Linked DNA regions of Saccharomyces cerevisiae S288C. The protein of the gene in region 1 interacts with the protein of each later gene in a biochemical or structural test. Each region holds a gene or a part of one and is shown on either strand. Other genes may lie near its edges.

The links.
Region 2: the proteins of TRZ1 (region 1) and NUC1 form a complex in vitro, tested with the Saccharomyces cerevisiae proteins (one study listed by BioGRID).

The regions. Positions count from the first base shown.
Region 1 is NC_001143.9:586,289-591,161, reverse strand, and holds TRZ1 (tRNase Z), read left to right. Parts: upstream 1-1,856; coding exon 1,857-4,373; downstream 4,374-4,873. Other genes in the region: MTD1 (methylenetetrahydrofolate dehydrogenase (NAD(+))), read right to left, coding at 1-767; VPS501 (sorting nexin family protein), read right to left, coding at 4,453-4,873. UniProt on the Saccharomyces cerevisiae protein: Zinc phosphodiesterase, which displays some tRNA 3'-processing endonuclease activity. Probably involved in tRNA maturation, by removing a 3'-trailer from precursor tRNA.
Region 2 is NC_001142.9:34,983-47,984, reverse strand, and holds NUC1 (ribonuclease), read left to right. Parts: upstream 1-6,801; coding exon 6,802-7,791; downstream 7,792-13,002. Other genes in the region: YJL206C (uncharacterized protein), read left to right, coding at 1-326; AP-1 complex accessory protein LAA1, read left to right, coding at 552-6,596; CBP1 (Cbp1p), read right to left, coding at 8,016-9,980; PEX2 (ubiquitin-protein ligase peroxin 2), read right to left, coding at 10,251-11,066; oligopeptide transporter OPT1, read left to right, coding at 11,736-13,002. UniProt on the Saccharomyces cerevisiae protein: This enzyme has both RNase and DNase activity.

The DNA.
Region 1 (4,873 bases):
TCACTAGGGACACCAGTGATGACCACATCTGAATCAAGAGAACACTTTTTCAACAGATCTTCAGAGTACTCCCCAAGGTCTTCCACATGATGCTTGTTTAATTTCAAACTTTCACCACGGGTGAATTTTTGAATGTTGTTAACGTCCACAGAGTATACTGTGGCACCGTCATTGGCTAATAGCGCCGCCAGTGGTCTACCGACGATTTCTGACCTGTTAATTACTATGCATTTCTTCCCATACAGTCTGTTTCCTTCTGGTAACAAATTGTTGTAAATTTTCAAGAATTCCAATATCTTAACGATAGCTAGTGGTGTGCAAGGTAGAATGGATTTCAAACGGTTTTCTTTGTCCAGGTATCTGACATTATGGTACAGGTTTTGGTAGTAAACATGATTTAACCCTTCTACATCTTTTTCCTTGCACACAACCTGTTGCAAATACTGATCTTGAGCATTACCGAAAACAGGAAAGTATACCATGATACCGTTCACAGAGTCATCGCCGTTAGCTTGTATTATCGCTTCTTCCAAAAAATCCTTATCTTCAATGACCCTTAAGTCATAGCGGAACCCCATTGACTCGCTAGTCTTTTGAGTCCATGTAGCATACATCTTTGCAGCAGGATCATTATTAGCTAGGAATCCCACAAGAAGGGGACCTTGACCATTATGTGTCTTCTTGTATTCCTCTACGTTGTTAATTATTTCGGTATTGAAAGTTTCGGCGACCTTGCTTGCTAAAATAGTACGACCAGGCTTCGACATTTCTCTATAGATTTATATTGATGGGTTGTGTTGATAGGAATTAATTTTACTGTGCTTTGCGATACTGTACACTTGAATAGACAAGGAGGTATTGTATCTCAGCCCAAGAAGAAGCTGGTTGCAAGGCACTTAAATACTTTGCGTAGTTGCTTTTTTTCCTTTTCTACTGAGTCAATATATCATAATAGTAAAGACAGTAATATTAGTCTTTACAACGTTGTAGAAATCTATTTACCAGTTCATTGGGAATATTAGGGCTTGTGTTGATTCGGGCTGACTCCGCCAAAAAGAGTCGCAGGGCTTTCATTTTTTGTCAGGACTTGGACTAGGAAAAGAATAAATTGTCTTGGGGTTTTTCGCAAAAAAGTAGGGCCTCTTAGGGTACCTTGGAGTAGCGAATAATGCCATAAAATATCAATTTATGGAGGTGACAGCCTGCATAAACAATATACTACAGCCTCAGTTGGGTTATTTTTTTTCGAATGCATATTTGAAATACGATGTCACTGTTCCTACGGATATCATTGTCATGCTATAAAAAAAAGAGCAACCCACTCAACAAATCAAAATTGCTGTTACAGAATGTTTGCTAGGCCATTGTAATGGGGTTGCGGTATTCCTGGTTGCATTAATATCGCCCACTGATATCTCAAACGAGGACGTAGCGTTTCTACATAGTAACTGCTCGGTATTTCAGAACACTTACCCGCAGTGAAAAAAATTTTTGGGCATCGCATAATCTATAACTGACGTAAAGGGAAGACATAATTAGCATCCTAAACCTTGTCTTGGGCCCTTTTTCGGCAGTTCATACCACCTTTTAATGATTCTGTCTAGGTGGTTGTTTTTTGCCTCCTTTTCTCTCTCTAAAATACCCGAAAGGATATAGAGCGGCAGTGAAATAATCTTCCTCAAGCATAATTCAAACTGTCGAATATACTACTAAATAGTCATTCACACTTGAAATCCTTCTCATCTGCATTTTCCCATTTGGTCAGGAGGTATAAATCATACAGAAAGGGACCTAAAAAGCAACAGACTAATAGAACGACCACCCGCAAAGAAAAGAGTCCTGGAAGGTTTTCAACGATGTTCACATTTATACCCATCACCCATCCTACATCGGATACAAAGCACCCATTGCTGCTAGTCCAGTCTGCACATGGGGAAAAGTATTTCTTCGGTAAAATTGGTGAAGGATCCCAAAGGAGTCTGACTGAAAATAAGATCAGGATATCCAAATTGAAGGATATTTTCCTTACTGGTGAATTAAACTGGTCAGATATAGGTGGATTACCTGGAATGATTTTGACTATTGCTGATCAAGGGAAAAGTAATCTTGTTTTGCATTACGGCAATGACATTTTGAATTACATAGTTTCCACTTGGAGATACTTCGTCTTTAGATTCGGAATAGACTTGAACGATCACATTATGAAAGACAAGGAAGTATATAAAGATAAGATAATAGCTGTTAAATCCTTTAATGTTCTGAAAAATGGGGGGGAAGACAGGTTAGGCGTCTTCGATAGTTTTCAAAAAGGTGTATTACGTTCCATAGTAGCAAAAATGTTCCCCAAACATGCACCCACCGATAGGTACGATCCTTCTAGTGATCCGCACTTGAATGTAGAGTTGCCTGACTTAGACGCCAAAGTGGAAGTTTCTACGAATTACGAGATTTCATTCAGTCCAGTGAGGGGTAAATTTAAAGTGGAGGAAGCTATTAAACTAGGTGTTCCGAAGGGTCCCTTATTTGCAAAGTTAACCAAGGGCCAAACAATTACTTTGGATAACGGTATTGTTGTAACTCCGGAACAGGTATTGGAGAATGAACGTCATTTTGCCAAAGTATTGATCCTGGATATCCCAGATGACCTATATTTGAACGCTTTCGTAGAAAAATTCAAGGATTATGATTGTGCTGAGCTTGGCATGGTGTATTATTTTCTTGGTGATGAGGTTACCATTAATGATAATCTATTCGCGTTCATTGACATATTTGAGAAAAACAATTATGGTAAAGTAAATCATATGATATCCCACAATAAAATTTCTCCAAACACGATATCATTTTTCGGTTCTGCATTGACCACATTGAAATTAAAGGCACTACAAGTAAATAATTACAATTTACCAAAAACAGATCGTGTGTTTTCCAAGGACTTCTACGACAGATTCGATACACCACTCAGCAGAGGTACATCTATGTGTAAATCCCAGGAAGAGCCTTTGAATACAATAATAGAGAAGGATAACATTCATATTTTTTCACAAAACAAGACAGTAACTTTCGAACCATTTCGGATGAACGAAGAACCGATGAAATGCAACATCAACGGTGAAGTGGCGGATTTCTCGTGGCAAGAAATTTTCGAAGAACATGTAAAACCATTAGAATTTCCCTTAGCTGATGTCGATACAGTTATCAATAATCAACTACACGTGGATAACTTTAACAATTCAGCAGAAAAGAAGAAACACGTTGAAATTATCACCTTAGGAACCGGTAGTGCATTGCCTTCTAAATATAGAAACGTTGTCTCCACACTTGTTAAAGTTCCTTTTACTGACGCCGATGGAAATACCATAAATAGAAACATTATGCTAGATGCTGGTGAAAATACTTTAGGTACCATACACAGGATGTTTTCTCAGCTAGCAGTCAAGTCAATATTTCAGGATTTGAAAATGATATATCTGAGTCACTTGCATGCAGACCACCATTTGGGAATAATCAGCGTGCTAAATGAATGGTACAAATATAACAAGGATGATGAAACGAGTTATATATATGTGGTTACTCCATGGCAATATCACAAATTTGTTAATGAATGGTTAGTTCTAGAAAATAAAGAGATTTTAAAGAGAATCAAATACATAAGTTGTGAGCATTTCATCAATGATTCGTTTGTAAGAATGCAGACACAATCTGTTCCTTTGGCAGAGTTCAATGAAATATTGAAAGAAAATAGCAATCAAGAATCAAACAGAAAACTGGAACTGGATAGAGATTCTTCATATAGGGATGTTGACTTGATCAGACAAATGTATGAGGATTTATCGATAGAATATTTTCAAACTTGCAGAGCTATACATTGTGACTGGGCATATTCGAACTCAATTACCTTCCGAATGGACGAAAACAATGAGCATAATACATTCAAGGTTTCATATTCAGGCGATACAAGACCTAACATCGAGAAATTTTCCCTCGAAATAGGCTATAATTCAGATCTATTAATTCACGAAGCTACACTAGAAAATCAGCTACTGGAGGATGCCGTGAAGAAAAAACACTGCACTATTAATGAAGCAATCGGTGTTTCGAACAAAATGAATGCTAGGAAGTTGATCTTAACACACTTTTCCCAGAGATATCCCAAATTGCCCCAATTAGACAATAATATTGATGTGATGGCGAGAGAATTTTGTTTTGCTTTCGACAGTATGATCGTTGATTATGAGAAAATTGGTGAACAGCAGCGTATTTTTCCACTGCTGAATAAGGCATTTGTTGAAGAAAAGGAAGAAGAAGAAGATGTTGATGACGTTGAAAGCGTACAAGATTTGGAAGTCAAACTTAAGAAACACAAGAAAAATTAGTATAATTCATCTTAACTTCTTATATTGTTGCTTTTTCAGTAGTAAATTATCTTCTTTAATTACGTTATTATGTACATATTCATTGGCTTATGTGCTCATCTGGTACAAAGTCTTGCCATAATTGTAAATAGTGTTTCTTTTCATCCATGTTCAAATCTCTTATTGATTTTAAACAACTATTAACCTCGGCGGCTTCTCTCTTCTCAAATTCTTTCCGTTCATTTAAGATATCTTCCATAATTTTCTCCCAGCTCTGCTTAACACGGTTATATCTTTTTAATACAATGCGGTATTCATCCTCTGCCGTGCGTATCTTAAGGTCTTCATTGTTACTGTTGTTGTTTCCCGGAGATAGTTTGTCAAGAAAGTTTTTCTTCTTGTCTAGATCCACTTCTATGATGCTTAGAATTTTACCAAGCTTCAATCTTTGATTTAAGATGGATTCAAATGATTCGCAAAATCTTACATTTTCATCAAATAATATGATTAGCTTCAGAATG
Region 2 (13,002 bases), on another chromosome or scaffold:
ATAATAATTTTACGAAGTGCCAAGGAGAATTACATCATGGACAGCAGCATCACCAAACTCCAGCCACGAGTCTTCGTTCCATTCTGAATCTTCCACAAGGGGAAGCTGATCTAAAGTTTCAGAATACCAATAATGAGAGCCATACAACGACAGCTGCACAAGAAGAATACTTAGATAAACTTCTAGCAGAATTTGAGGAATTTGACTACTCAATTAACAGAGTATTACCTGATGTCATCGATTTTTCAGCACTAATTGGCCAAGATTCTTCTGCCAACAATCAAATATTTTCCTCAGAATTCAGCTCTGACCCAACAGTAAATTGAACCTTTAAACTCGCGACTTCTTTATATCTGTATATTCTTCTACATCCTTCTTTTTATGTATTATTATTTTATCTGCTTCCTCACACCACATAGTGGCATACCGTGTGTGGCCGTTTTTTTTTTCATCGCCATATTGAAACAGTGATTTGTTATTATTCAATTGAAATAATAGTTATTAGGTTTAAAAAAAACTAAAAGATAAAATAAATAGCCCAGGCCACGAAAATGGCAAACCGATCCCTCAAGAAAGTGATAGAAACATCATCAAACAATGGTCACGATTTATTAACTTGGATAACCACCAATTTGGAAAAGCTTATATGTTTGAAAGAAGTTAATGATAATGAAATACAGGAGGTTAAGGAAATACACACTCAACTGGATGAGTTTGTGAGGTATATCTCCGTACTAGAAAATACGGATGATTTAGAACTGCATTCAGTGTTTATCAGTTTGTCTCAGCTCTATACGATTTCCATATGGCGTTTGAAGGACGAATATCCTGGTGTAGTTTTTGATTCCGCAGCATTCTTAACAAACGTATTGTGTGAAGAAGATGTATCCATTGATGATGGAGATACCGACCCTAACCAAAAGAAAAAAAAGAAGAAGTCAAGTACAAAAAAAAAAAAGTACATATACTCACCGGCAAAAGATATCGCATGTACCATACTTGTTCAATTATTTGAAAATTTTGGAAGTAGCATCTCTTCCTTAATCCCATTGTTATTTAATGCTATTTTCAAAAACCTGAAAAAAATTATGGAGAAAAGTAAATATTATCATGCTACCTTCATGACAACCCTTCTTCAGCTTTTTAATGCGATTCTAAGAAATTCCAATAATGATGATAAAATCCTTGATCCAGCCACATATGCGAAATTTTCGAAACTATCCAAAACCGTTTTTGACAGTATTTCCACTGATGAGAAGGACTTTTCAGTTACTTTTGTGTCTGTCCTAATTGAATGCTGGACAGCTCATTTCAAACAAACTAATTTTATCAGAGAGCACTCCCATGATATTATAGAGACCATATATTCTAGATTTACCGAAGGTGAAATAGGTGTTTATGGTTTTGCAAACGACGAAACTCGTATCTTTACCGCAAAATCTTTAGCGGAGATATTATTTGATTATTACTTTTCTAAAAATATTTTAACTCTACAAGAAGTATGGTCCATCTACGTTAAGATATTCTTAAACTGTGATACACGAGACGTGGAAAGTGGTTGCTTCGAATCTATTATTCATTTGATAAACTTGAATTTATTAGCTGACAACACTTTTTTGAGTAACTCAAAATATTTGGATATAGTTCTCTCTTTAAGCGGCGTCTTCAGCAGTTACGAAGTGAATAATAGGAGCATGAATACATTATCAAGGTATTTGAGATACTTTCAACATATGCATGAAGTAATATTGCCACATTTGAATGATTCTGCAAAGACTCAAATGTTGTACTACATCCTAGGTTGTTCTGATACTTACCAGAGCTCCTCTAAAAGTGATTCAGCTTCAAATTTCAAATATAGTATTGATGCGAAGCCTGAAACACAGTGGCTTACATTACTGCAGCTTGACTTCACGTATGTGTTAATCAGCGACTTAGGTTCTACTTTCACCACTGAGGAAAATACCGTTAAAGAGATTAGAGATAAACTGGTTGATTTAGCTACATGTGAAATCTTTACGATACGAGTTCACACTGTGGAAATTTTGAAGGTTTTTTTGAACAACTGTCCAGAATATCTTTCGGAGACCATTGAAAACTCCTTACGTGCACTATCCACTGATTTTAAATCTACAGGAAAATTTATTTTTCATAAAAATCATGGCCATGCTTTTATAATAGCAAATCTAATCAAAGGTGCCGAGAGCGATTATATTTCCTATGAGTTGATCATGAGAATTACAGTGTTTTCTACATCATTCATTAAGAATAATACTACATCTACCTCTTCTAATTTGTACTTCAAGGGTCTTTTATGCTGGATATTATTGATAGGATTGATGAATTATAAAGATGAACAGTATTTGAAGCTGCAGATACCCCAACTATTTCTTTTCTGGAAAGTTTTATTAACACATACCTACACATACCACGACGAGGATGAATTATACAAGAACCTAGAAATCCGAAATCATGCATTGACTTGTTTATTGACGTATTTAAGCAATACGACAATTGATAAAGAAATGGCTAAACAAGTATCATATTTGCTAACTAAGTGCTCCAATTTTAATCATTCCATTGACCTGAAATCGAAAAACATTGACAATGCTTTACTGCATAATGAAAACAGAATTTTACAGGTATACCTTAAGCTGGAGAAATACATAAATAGCGATTTTAATAGTTCTTTACTAATATTAATCGTGAAGAATTTTTCAGATCCCAATCTTTACACCGAGTCAAGTAGTTCCGTTTTGGGAAGCTTGAAAGATATTGGTAACAGGAAAGTGAGTAACAAGGACGACATGGAAAGTAATATAGTATTAGAATCTTCAATTAATACTTTACTTCGTCAAAACAACGGCTTTGCATTCGGCCTATCCAGCAAAATAACTGGGGACCGTATCGTGAATTTATCGATGTCCAGTGCTTACAAGTATGATGAATCAATAAGTGGAAGTTGGCCATCCAAGGATTACAATTGGTACAATATTTTCGAAGTAGAAGTATCAAAACCAATTTCACCCATTTTATCTTTAGATTCACTGATTCTACTATATGGATCTGGGTCTTATTCCCAAATTGACCGCTACGCACCTCAGGTCACTACATCTTTAATCGACTCTTCTATGGAACTTTTTTCATCTGTATTCCCTTTTTTGAATAGCAAAATACAGTATTCCATTATGGAAACTTTAAATTTGTCCATGTTCTCCAAAATGACTACACCATTGAGAAGCGTGGCTGTGGCTGCTAATGTTTGTAGTGCTCTGCATAATGCTTTACGCATCATGCAAGAAAACAATCTAGAGTTGGACTATTCAGTGGGGCAGCTAATTATCGAATCAATAAAGAAGATTCAGTTTTTTAATGACATTTTTCTCACAAAAATCAAGGCAGATTGTGTAGGATTGCTGACAGCGGCTATCGCAAGAACACTTGGCGATGAAGAAAGACAAAAATTCCTTACAGAGCAATCAAGAATATTCATTAAAAACGTCGCAGATATGGACGAACCATACTTAAGGATGTTTCATGTCTTATCATTGGCTACAATTTTTAAATATAACTCACAATATGCTAATTTTGAAGAATACTTTGATGTAATTTTTGCATTAATGAGGGATCCACACCCTGTTGTTCATTCATGGTCATTGAAAGCAATGCATATTCTTCTTGAGAAACATTTAGTGATTGATTTAAAGACGGCAGCTCTGTTGCTAAGTTCTATGGAAGAGCTTTTGGTCCAGGATAAGTATGGTATTTACGGACGCTCTACTCTTCGCTGTAACTATAATAGGGACTTTAATTCTCACGTAGCAATCGGTGAAATTTCAAGGACATTGACTGAAACTGTGGGGCCAAATTTTCTAGAACTTAACACCAAGGTTCTTGATTCGTTCAGAAACATTACACTCTCCATGTTAATTTCAAATAATATTCTCAACAGCATAACCAGCATTAAAATGTTTGAAAACATAGCTACTTTTAAAATGAAAAACATTCTAAACTATGAAATCTTTATTCTTGCTTCTAAGAGCATAATTAAAAGTTCAATAGTGACTGGAATAGGCTCATCATATTTTGACACTACATTCACGGGCTCAAATGAACTCATTTCTCGAACTTCAAGTCTGAAAGGCGCCTTTGAAAACTTTGATTTATTGACGTTGTTGTACAAATTACAGATGGAGGAATTTTTCATGAAAGAAATGGAAAATTTGAGCTGGAGATATCTCGCACTTTTTCCAAATTCCGGTTCTGTCAAGAATTATTTTACCGAATGGATATTACATACTTTCAAAAGAGATAATCATTGGTTCGATAAATTATACTCAATATTTAATATGAGTTTAGGAAGACTCTTCCAAAGCTATAACAGAGACGTTTCAGCCCTACTAGAGGTAAATGGCCTAAAAAAATCTTCAGAAAAGGAAATTAAAGGCGAAGAAGAAGAATCAATAGCGAATGTTAACCAACTGACTGACACAGATGCTGGTGGTCTCGACTCTGAGAACCTGCAATGGAAGAGCAGACAGATTATCTTAAATTTAATATTAATGTTGTGCTTAGAATCCGAAAAATATGAAAATCTGCTCCTTGCCCTCAGCAACAAAATTGCAGATCTCATTAAAATATCATTTCGTGGATCTACAGTGAGGAATGAAGGCATGAAGTTAACGGGACTACACATTTTGAATTTTGTTCTCAAGAACTACTCCACCATGAGAGATCCTCAGGTTCCTGGATCGTCGATTTTAGAACAGCAAGAGGCCCAAATAACTAGCGCATTAATGCCTGCTTTTAGTAAAGGAAGCTCACCTACTGTAATGTCCTTTGCTATTACTGTTGCTGCTGAAGTGTTGGCATCGAATATAATGCCACCAGATAAATTGGGAAGAATTTCACAATTACTAATTGACCTTCTTGGTAACTTTAAAGATCCTAATTCCGGTATACGGATAGGGGAAGCTATAATCGTTACACCCAAAGCGAAAAGAAAAATTGAACTTGCCGTTTTGGATGCGTGGGCTGAGGTAGTGCAAAGATCCATCACGTCGTCAAATGATGCGCTTTTCTCTTTTACCAGGAAATATTGGAGCATTTTAGTCCCATTATGGATCATTTCTTTACGTGAATACATGATGATAAAGTATAACGATAATGATTCTACTGTGCAAGTAAAGAATGACTCGAAAGAAAATAGTCTCATTGAACCAAGAAGTACGAAAATTGAGTTATATGAACCGGTCTGGTTAAATTTCGTAGAGGCCCTTGGGTGCACTCTGGATTCAGACGTTCAAGTCATTTTGGCATCTCTTAACGATGAGGAATTAGAGTATTTTCTTTTTATTTTATTTAGCCAATGTTTGGAGGCTATCGTCAAAAATATTGATGATCATTCAGTCAAGATGCAAGTTTTACCGGCTTTACACAATGTTTTGAAGAGCAATCTGTGCATAAAAAGTATATTTGAGGATGATATTATTACTGAAGTTGTTGAGATTATGGACAGACTGATTTCTACAGGCGACAGTAAAGAAGAATTTTTGCTTGTTGATATCATCAGTGACTTGATCATTGGGTATTCGAAGTGTAATGCTACTCCTGAAACATTTCTACAAGATATTGACAAACTATATGAGCTACTGCGACTACTGATGACAATTATTTCTGAGAGGTTGCCATTTATTAAGTATAACGTGCTTACCAGCGAAGAAGATGATAATGAAATAAAAATCTCTCCCACAGATATTAGTCTGTTGAAAAAAACATTTATTGCGTTCGAATCAAATATCAGTAACTTCGACAATATGTTCAAAGTAGATCTTTATTCATGTCTTTTATTCATCATAGGGAAAATTTATGAATGTAGTCATCGTGAAGTAATAATTCCAATCATACTCCCACTTTTCAAGGCACTAGTAAAAGCGCTTACGGAATCTGAGGACGAAAAAAATATTGTGTTACTAGAAATATTCTACGGGTCAATAAAAGATGTTATTTATCATAAGCTGGATTCAAAGAATAAAGTTGCAACCATTTTGATCTTGCTGTCTAATGGATACTCTAAGCTAAGTTTTCAGGAACTGAATCAGTGCGCAAATATTCTCTCGGAGGCATTGAATAATCCTGCTACGCAGCCAATTGCTCTACAAGGCTTCAAGAGAATAATATCTAATATTTTCAAATACCCGTTGTTGCAGTATTTTATGAAGTTGGTTATAAAAAGATTCTTTCAAGATATTCAAACAAACGATTCCTTATCGCAGGCAAGCATTAAAACTAAGTTGATAATTCAGTTTTCCGAGGAAGTAATCAAACAAGATCACCAAAAGGCATCATTGTCAATTGCTTTATGTCTTTCTTTCTTTGCCGCATATCATAGCGCATATACAGAGAAAATAGACAACGAAGTAGCAAGTGGCATAGTTGCTTTGGCTAAATTGGACAAAAATTCATTTAAAGAAGCCATTTCTAGCACTATAAGTCCTCAACAAAAAGCAATTATAGGTTCCGTGATGGAGGCATACGTTAAATCGCAGTCTTTGGGCTCTGTCGAAGAGGCCTTTCAACTGAAATCTTTCGACTAATTGCAAGTCGGATGCATATGCACGGAAATAAAACTCATCGCGAAAAAAGAAAAAAAAAATAAAATCTGTGAAAAAATATCAATGGTGCAATTGGTTATTGGTCACTCATCAAGTAATTTGTTAGTTTTTATAGAGTTACAATTGTATAAAGATAAGAACATTTAGTTAAGTTCCCCACTTATTAGATCCCAAAGTTAAAGTTATCATGTGCAGTAGGATACTCTTGTCCGGTTTAGTCGGACTGGGTGCTGGTACTGGCTTAACCTATCTTCTTTTGAACAAACATTCTCCAACGCAAATCATTGAGACACCTTATCCACCTACCCAGAAACCTAATAGTAATATTCAATCTCACTCTTTCAACGTCGATCCTTCCGGGTTCTTCAAGTATGGTTTTCCTGGTCCGATTCATGATCTGCAGAACCGCGAAGAGTTTATCTCATGTTACAACAGACAAACTCAAAATCCTTATTGGGTCCTCGAACATATAACGCCAGAATCATTGGCTGCAAGGAATGCTGACAGAAAAAATTCCTTTTTCAAGGAAGATGAAGTAATTCCAGAAAAGTTTAGAGGTAAACTAAGAGACTATTTTAGGTCGGGCTATGATCGAGGCCATCAAGCCCCAGCTGCAGACGCAAAATTTTCTCAACAGGCCATGGATGATACATTCTACTTATCCAATATGTGTCCTCAAGTAGGAGAAGGTTTTAATAGAGACTATTGGGCGCATTTGGAGTACTTTTGTAGGGGATTGACTAAGAAATATAAGAGTGTAAGAATCGTGACTGGTCCATTGTATCTACCCAAAAAGGATCCCATAGATAATAAATTTAGGGTTAATTATGAAGTTATTGGCAATCCACCCAGTATTGCTGTTCCAACGCACTTTTTTAAATTGATTGTTGCAGAAGCACCAACAGCCAATCCTGCTAGAGAGGATATTGCTGTCGCGGCATTTGTATTGCCAAACGAACCGATATCAAATGAGACGAAATTGACTGACTTTGAAGTTCCTATAGATGCTTTAGAGAGAAGTACTGGGCTAGAACTTCTGCAAAAAGTACCACCTTCAAAGAAGAAGGCATTATGCAAAGAGGTAAATTGTCAAATTGTAGTGAGAGATTTCTCTAACGCGGCGATCAAACAATCGAAAGATGTGAAATTGTTACCTCCTCCAAAAAAAAGGAATTGAATGTACTGAAAAACTGTAAATATAAATTAATTCATAACACAACGATAGAATAGCATGAAAGAATATAACAAGTCTAACGCATATAACATAAAATAATACATTTATTTGATGATCAAAAAAAGAAAAGAATTAGGATGCAATGCTTGGATTTAGTATATATTTACAGAAATTTGTTTTGTTATTATTTGCTTTGTTATTTATATCGTAAATGTGCGTTTGGCCGTTCATCTTAAGTAACGTTTGACAGCCGACACACCATGCTTTTTAATATCTTGTATGATCTCCTTGTTTGTTTTGAACTCTGAATTTCTAATTTGATGTTTTAAGATGAAATTCCAGTCTAACTTCAATTCCTCAATCGTCATACCGTTCTGGTATAGTTCTGCGCACGCCCAAAGAAAAATGTCTGTTCTTCCTATCTGCAGTGCGCTTAATGCAATATTCCTTAAAATAGTAAACCTGTTTTGATTATTCACTTTTAATTTGACATCACATGGGGAGGATGCAATGAATGGGTTACAGTTCGATTTTGTCCAGTATGTTTTACTTCTCTTTGCAGCATTTATATAAAGTAGTTTTGCCAAATCGATATCCTTCTTGGCATTGGCAACAAATTTACCATCTCGCTTTTTATAATGACAAAGTTTTTTAATGTATAAAGCGGAAACCACATTCCAAAGAGAGTTTCTGTGGTCAGGATCAAAATCATGTGCCTTCGTCAACAAATCGTTTACAAGTGCCATCAAATTATCGGTGAACTTGACCTTTGAAGCCAATTTCCAATCAACTACTTCGTTAATTATTGACCCATAGGCTAACATTGCTTGTCCGGGGGGTATAGTATCGAGTAATTTGACTGCCTTAGCGATATGATCGAGGTTTTGTGTTTTGAAAAGGTGAATAATTATTGCTTGATAATTTTCTTGCGAAAGCGCCCTGAAATTTGTTGTTATTTGCTTCAAAACCCTATCTACACCGTTAGAATCGTTAAATTTCAAATGCATTCTTAGCAATGAAGAAAGACATCTCTTGTTAAGCCAGACAATATGATGGTTTTCGGGTAAAGTGTATCTGTTAATGTTCTGCATGAGTTCCTTGGCCATTGTTAAAGAGTCTTGCTTTGTAATGAAGTCAATAATTGCCGGTAATATCAAAGGGTTATTACAATAGTACTCTGGAGTTAATTGCCAAAACATTTCGCTACATATAGATCTATAGGCTCTATTATGGGTACAAATCTTGAAGACTTTATAAATGATTCTGGAATCATGTGCAGAAATGGAAACATAGTGCTCTTTGATTTTGTTCCAAATAGAATACACACTTGCAACATTTCCTCTTCTATAATTTTCATCAATGGACTTGTACGCAAGCAGCACTTGATCATCCCGAAGCTTCAAATCGTTAGTCAAAGAATAGTTTATATTCATCAGTTTGTTCAGTATAGCCTTGCATAATTGCGGGGCTTCATTACTTAAGCCGAGGGCCTTATTAGAAAGAGTTTCTAATTGAAACCTCGTTAACTTTATTCCGCCTCCGGTTATACTTTCGAACAGAGAGTTCAGTTGTAAATATTTGACTAGATGAACATGATCATGCAGTGGGTTTGGGTACGCTAATACTGATATTATTTTCTTAGCATATTGTTCGTCTAGCTTTTTATCATCTGTAAATAATCTGTAGTACAGCAGGAAAAGGTCGGCAGCCATAACTATGTCTCCTGTGCCGATGGCATCATCAACACACCAGCGCATAGTATCCAATTGCGTAGTCAAGGGCTTTTGATGTCTTACGGATGAAACTTGGGAGACCACTTGATTGACTAGATCCAAGTTTTTCTTGCATTGGTACAAACATTCTCTTCTATAAATTCCTCTTGTAGTCATAGATGAGGTTTTTGTGCGATTGATGAAACTGATGAAATCTTCGATCTTGACCTCGTGTAATATAGAGCTTTCCAGTAAGCTATTTTCTTGTTTCCGAAGACTTTTGTAGTCCGCCATGTCAGACCAATATTTCCGTATTTTCAACTTGTCATTGTCATTTAAATTCGCATTTGCTTTGATAAGGGCCAAGACCTGTTTTTGAATTGGATCCCTGCTGCTGTGGTTGATTCGTCGCAAGGTCCTGGTAGGTACCATTTTTATAAACCTCTCGGTCCTGTACCGAACGAGACGAGGTAAAAACATTGCATGGAAAGGGAAACGTGCAAAATGCAAACTACTGCTATCCTAAAGTGCTCACTGTTTATTATTACTGGATTTCAGACGTCGCTTCCCACATCGTCCCGTACAGCGTTCCATGATGATATTATACCACTTCTTTATTGTTTCTTTTTTTTCTTGAGCAGAAAGTGAAAAAAAAAAAACCAGACCCTTTACCACGTGACCGATTTTGACAACATGAATATGAATATAGTATACACATATATAGAGATACAAGCGAGGGAACGGGGCCCTTTAGTACACTGGTGAGGCGGTCAGTCTCCCAGAGGATCCACAGGCATCGCACATAGACCACTCCAACGCCTTTACAACGCACACGTAACAGTAGTTCGCACGACAACAAGCGATCTGGTATGGGTTGGTTGGAAAACCGCCGCAACGGGGGCAAACTGTCTTATAAGTAGTCGTAGAACGAGACCTTGGTGGTTTTTTAACAAAGGTCAAGAGTCCTCTTTTCGTAAGTAGTGTATTGGAAAAGAGTTCTAATAGTGCATTCCATAGCAATTGTCTATTCTGGTATTCTAACCCAGCGAATACAGAGTTCGAATAAAATTCAGAGGCAATTGCAGAACCATCCCGAATCAACCTTGTGGAATGGACATTAAAAGCCCGGTATAACGGCGACAAAAACGCCCTCGCATTGGGCCCTTCCGCTGCTAGAAACCTCAGGAAGTTGGTTACATCACAGCCGTGATACAATAAATTAACCCATTTGTACAGCTTCAGCCACATCATCTGGTTCCCACAGTGCGGCCCATTAAAAATAATATGTGTGATCTTCTTCCACACGTACCCTGCCAAGACAGTGACGACATACAAGGTGCGTTTCCTGCACTGAAAAACCACGCCACTGAGTGCGGATCCATACGTACAGCTAGAGCCATAGTGTGGCAGGAACCTCGTCGCGCACATAAACACAACTGTGTTCAGTGCCAACTCCCATTCCTCTTTGTGTTCACTCGTATTGAATGCTGCATTGAACTCGGACCAAAACTGTCCATACAATTCTTTATCAAGCGCTATCGAGTCGAGCTGTGCAACTCGAGACATGCTGCGTTGCCTTTAGATTACGTCTTCTCAGTTATCTCGGCAATCTCTCCTCGTTATGCTTTCCCTCCGTCTTCACTCATCCCTTATAATGCGTTTCCCAGCAACCTTATCGATAGAATGGAGGGGAAATCGCATCCGTTCCACTCCTCGGATCGATACTAACTTCCGAGACGTTGCATCAAAGGCCAAGACATGGCATTAGTCACCCTTGTTGCAACGATAGACGCATACTACGGACCCCTCAAACCTCCCTACCTGCCCGTCGCTATCGCATTAATTTTCTTTTTTTCCACTATTTTTCCGGCCCGCCACACCTCCGACTACAAGACGCCACATCTACGTTTTGTCACACAAAATCCAGGACAATAGCCGTCTGCAAGGCACCAAGGTTTTCAGCAGTTGCTTGTTGCTGCTGCCTGTTAATCACATCAAACCCACTGCAAGGGCAGTCGATGGGTCTGTAAACGCCTTAGCAATCGTTGTTGAAGAAAGAGAGCTCTTATCATCATGGGGTGCCCATCATTTTTCTTTTTTTTTCAAATTTTGGGCTATTCAATGAATTGTTTCGACTATATATGGACAATCATCGGAAGCTGTGTATTCTTGGTAAAAAGTTTTCGACTGTGTGGCAGAAAATAACCGCAACAATTATATAACGTCACAGAACACATGAGTACCATTTATAGGGAGAGCGACTCGTTGGAGTCGGAGCCCTCGCCAACGCCAACAACCATTCCTATCCAGATCAATATGGAAGAGGAAAAGAAAGATGCTTTCGTTAAGAATATTGACGAGGACGTCAATAATCTCACTGCGACTACTGATGAGGAGGACCGCGATCCGGAAAGCCAAAAATTCGACAGGCATTCCATACAGGAGGAAGGTCTCGTTTGGAAGGGCGACCCTACATACTTGCCCAATTCTCCATATCCTGAAGTGAGATCGGCGGTGTCCATCGAGGATGACCCCACCATCCGCCTCAACCACTGGAGAACGTGGTTCTTGACCACGGTGTTTGTGGTAGTTTTCGCCGGTGTTAATCAATTTTTTTCCCTGAGATATCCATCGCTAGAGATCAACTTCCTTGTTGCACAAGTTGTTTGCTACCCAATTGGTAGGATACTGGCTCTCTTGCCCGACTGGAAGTGTTCTAAAGTGCCATTTTTCGATTTAAACCCGGGCCCATTTACCAAAAAGGAACACGCCGTGGTCACAATTGCCGTGGCGCTTACTTCCTCTACTGCATACGCTATGTACATTTTGAACGCCCAGGGAAGCTTTTACAACATGAAACTTAATGTCGGATATCAGTTCTTGTTGGTTTGGACATCTCAAATGATTGGTTATGGTGCTGCAGGTCTTACCAGAAGATGGGTCGTCAACCCTGCAAGCTCTATCTGGCCTCAGACTTTAATTTCAGTGTCCTTGTTTGATTCGTTGCACTCGAGAAAAGTTGAAAAGACAGTCGCAAATGGTTGGACGATGCCCCGTTACAGGTTCTTCTTAATCGTCCTTATCGGATCGTTCATCTGGTATTGGGTACCTGGATTCCTCTTTACCGGTCTGTCCTATTTCAACGTTATCCTATGGGGGTCGAAGACAAGACACAATTTCATCGCTAACACAATCTTTGGTACTCAAAGTGGTCTCGGTGCGTTGCCAATTACATTTGACTACACCCAGGTTTCCCAAGCCATGTCCGGCTCTGTTTTCGCCACACCATTCTACGTCTCCGCCAACACCTATGCATCAGTGTTGATATTCTTCGTCATAGTGCTGCCATGTCTTTATTTTACGAATACCTGGTATGCCAAATACATGCCCGTCATTTCAGGTTCTACTTATGACAACACTCAAAACAAATACAACGTAACAAAGATTCTTAACGAGGATTATTCCATTAATCTTGAGAAATATAAGGAATACTCACCGGTAT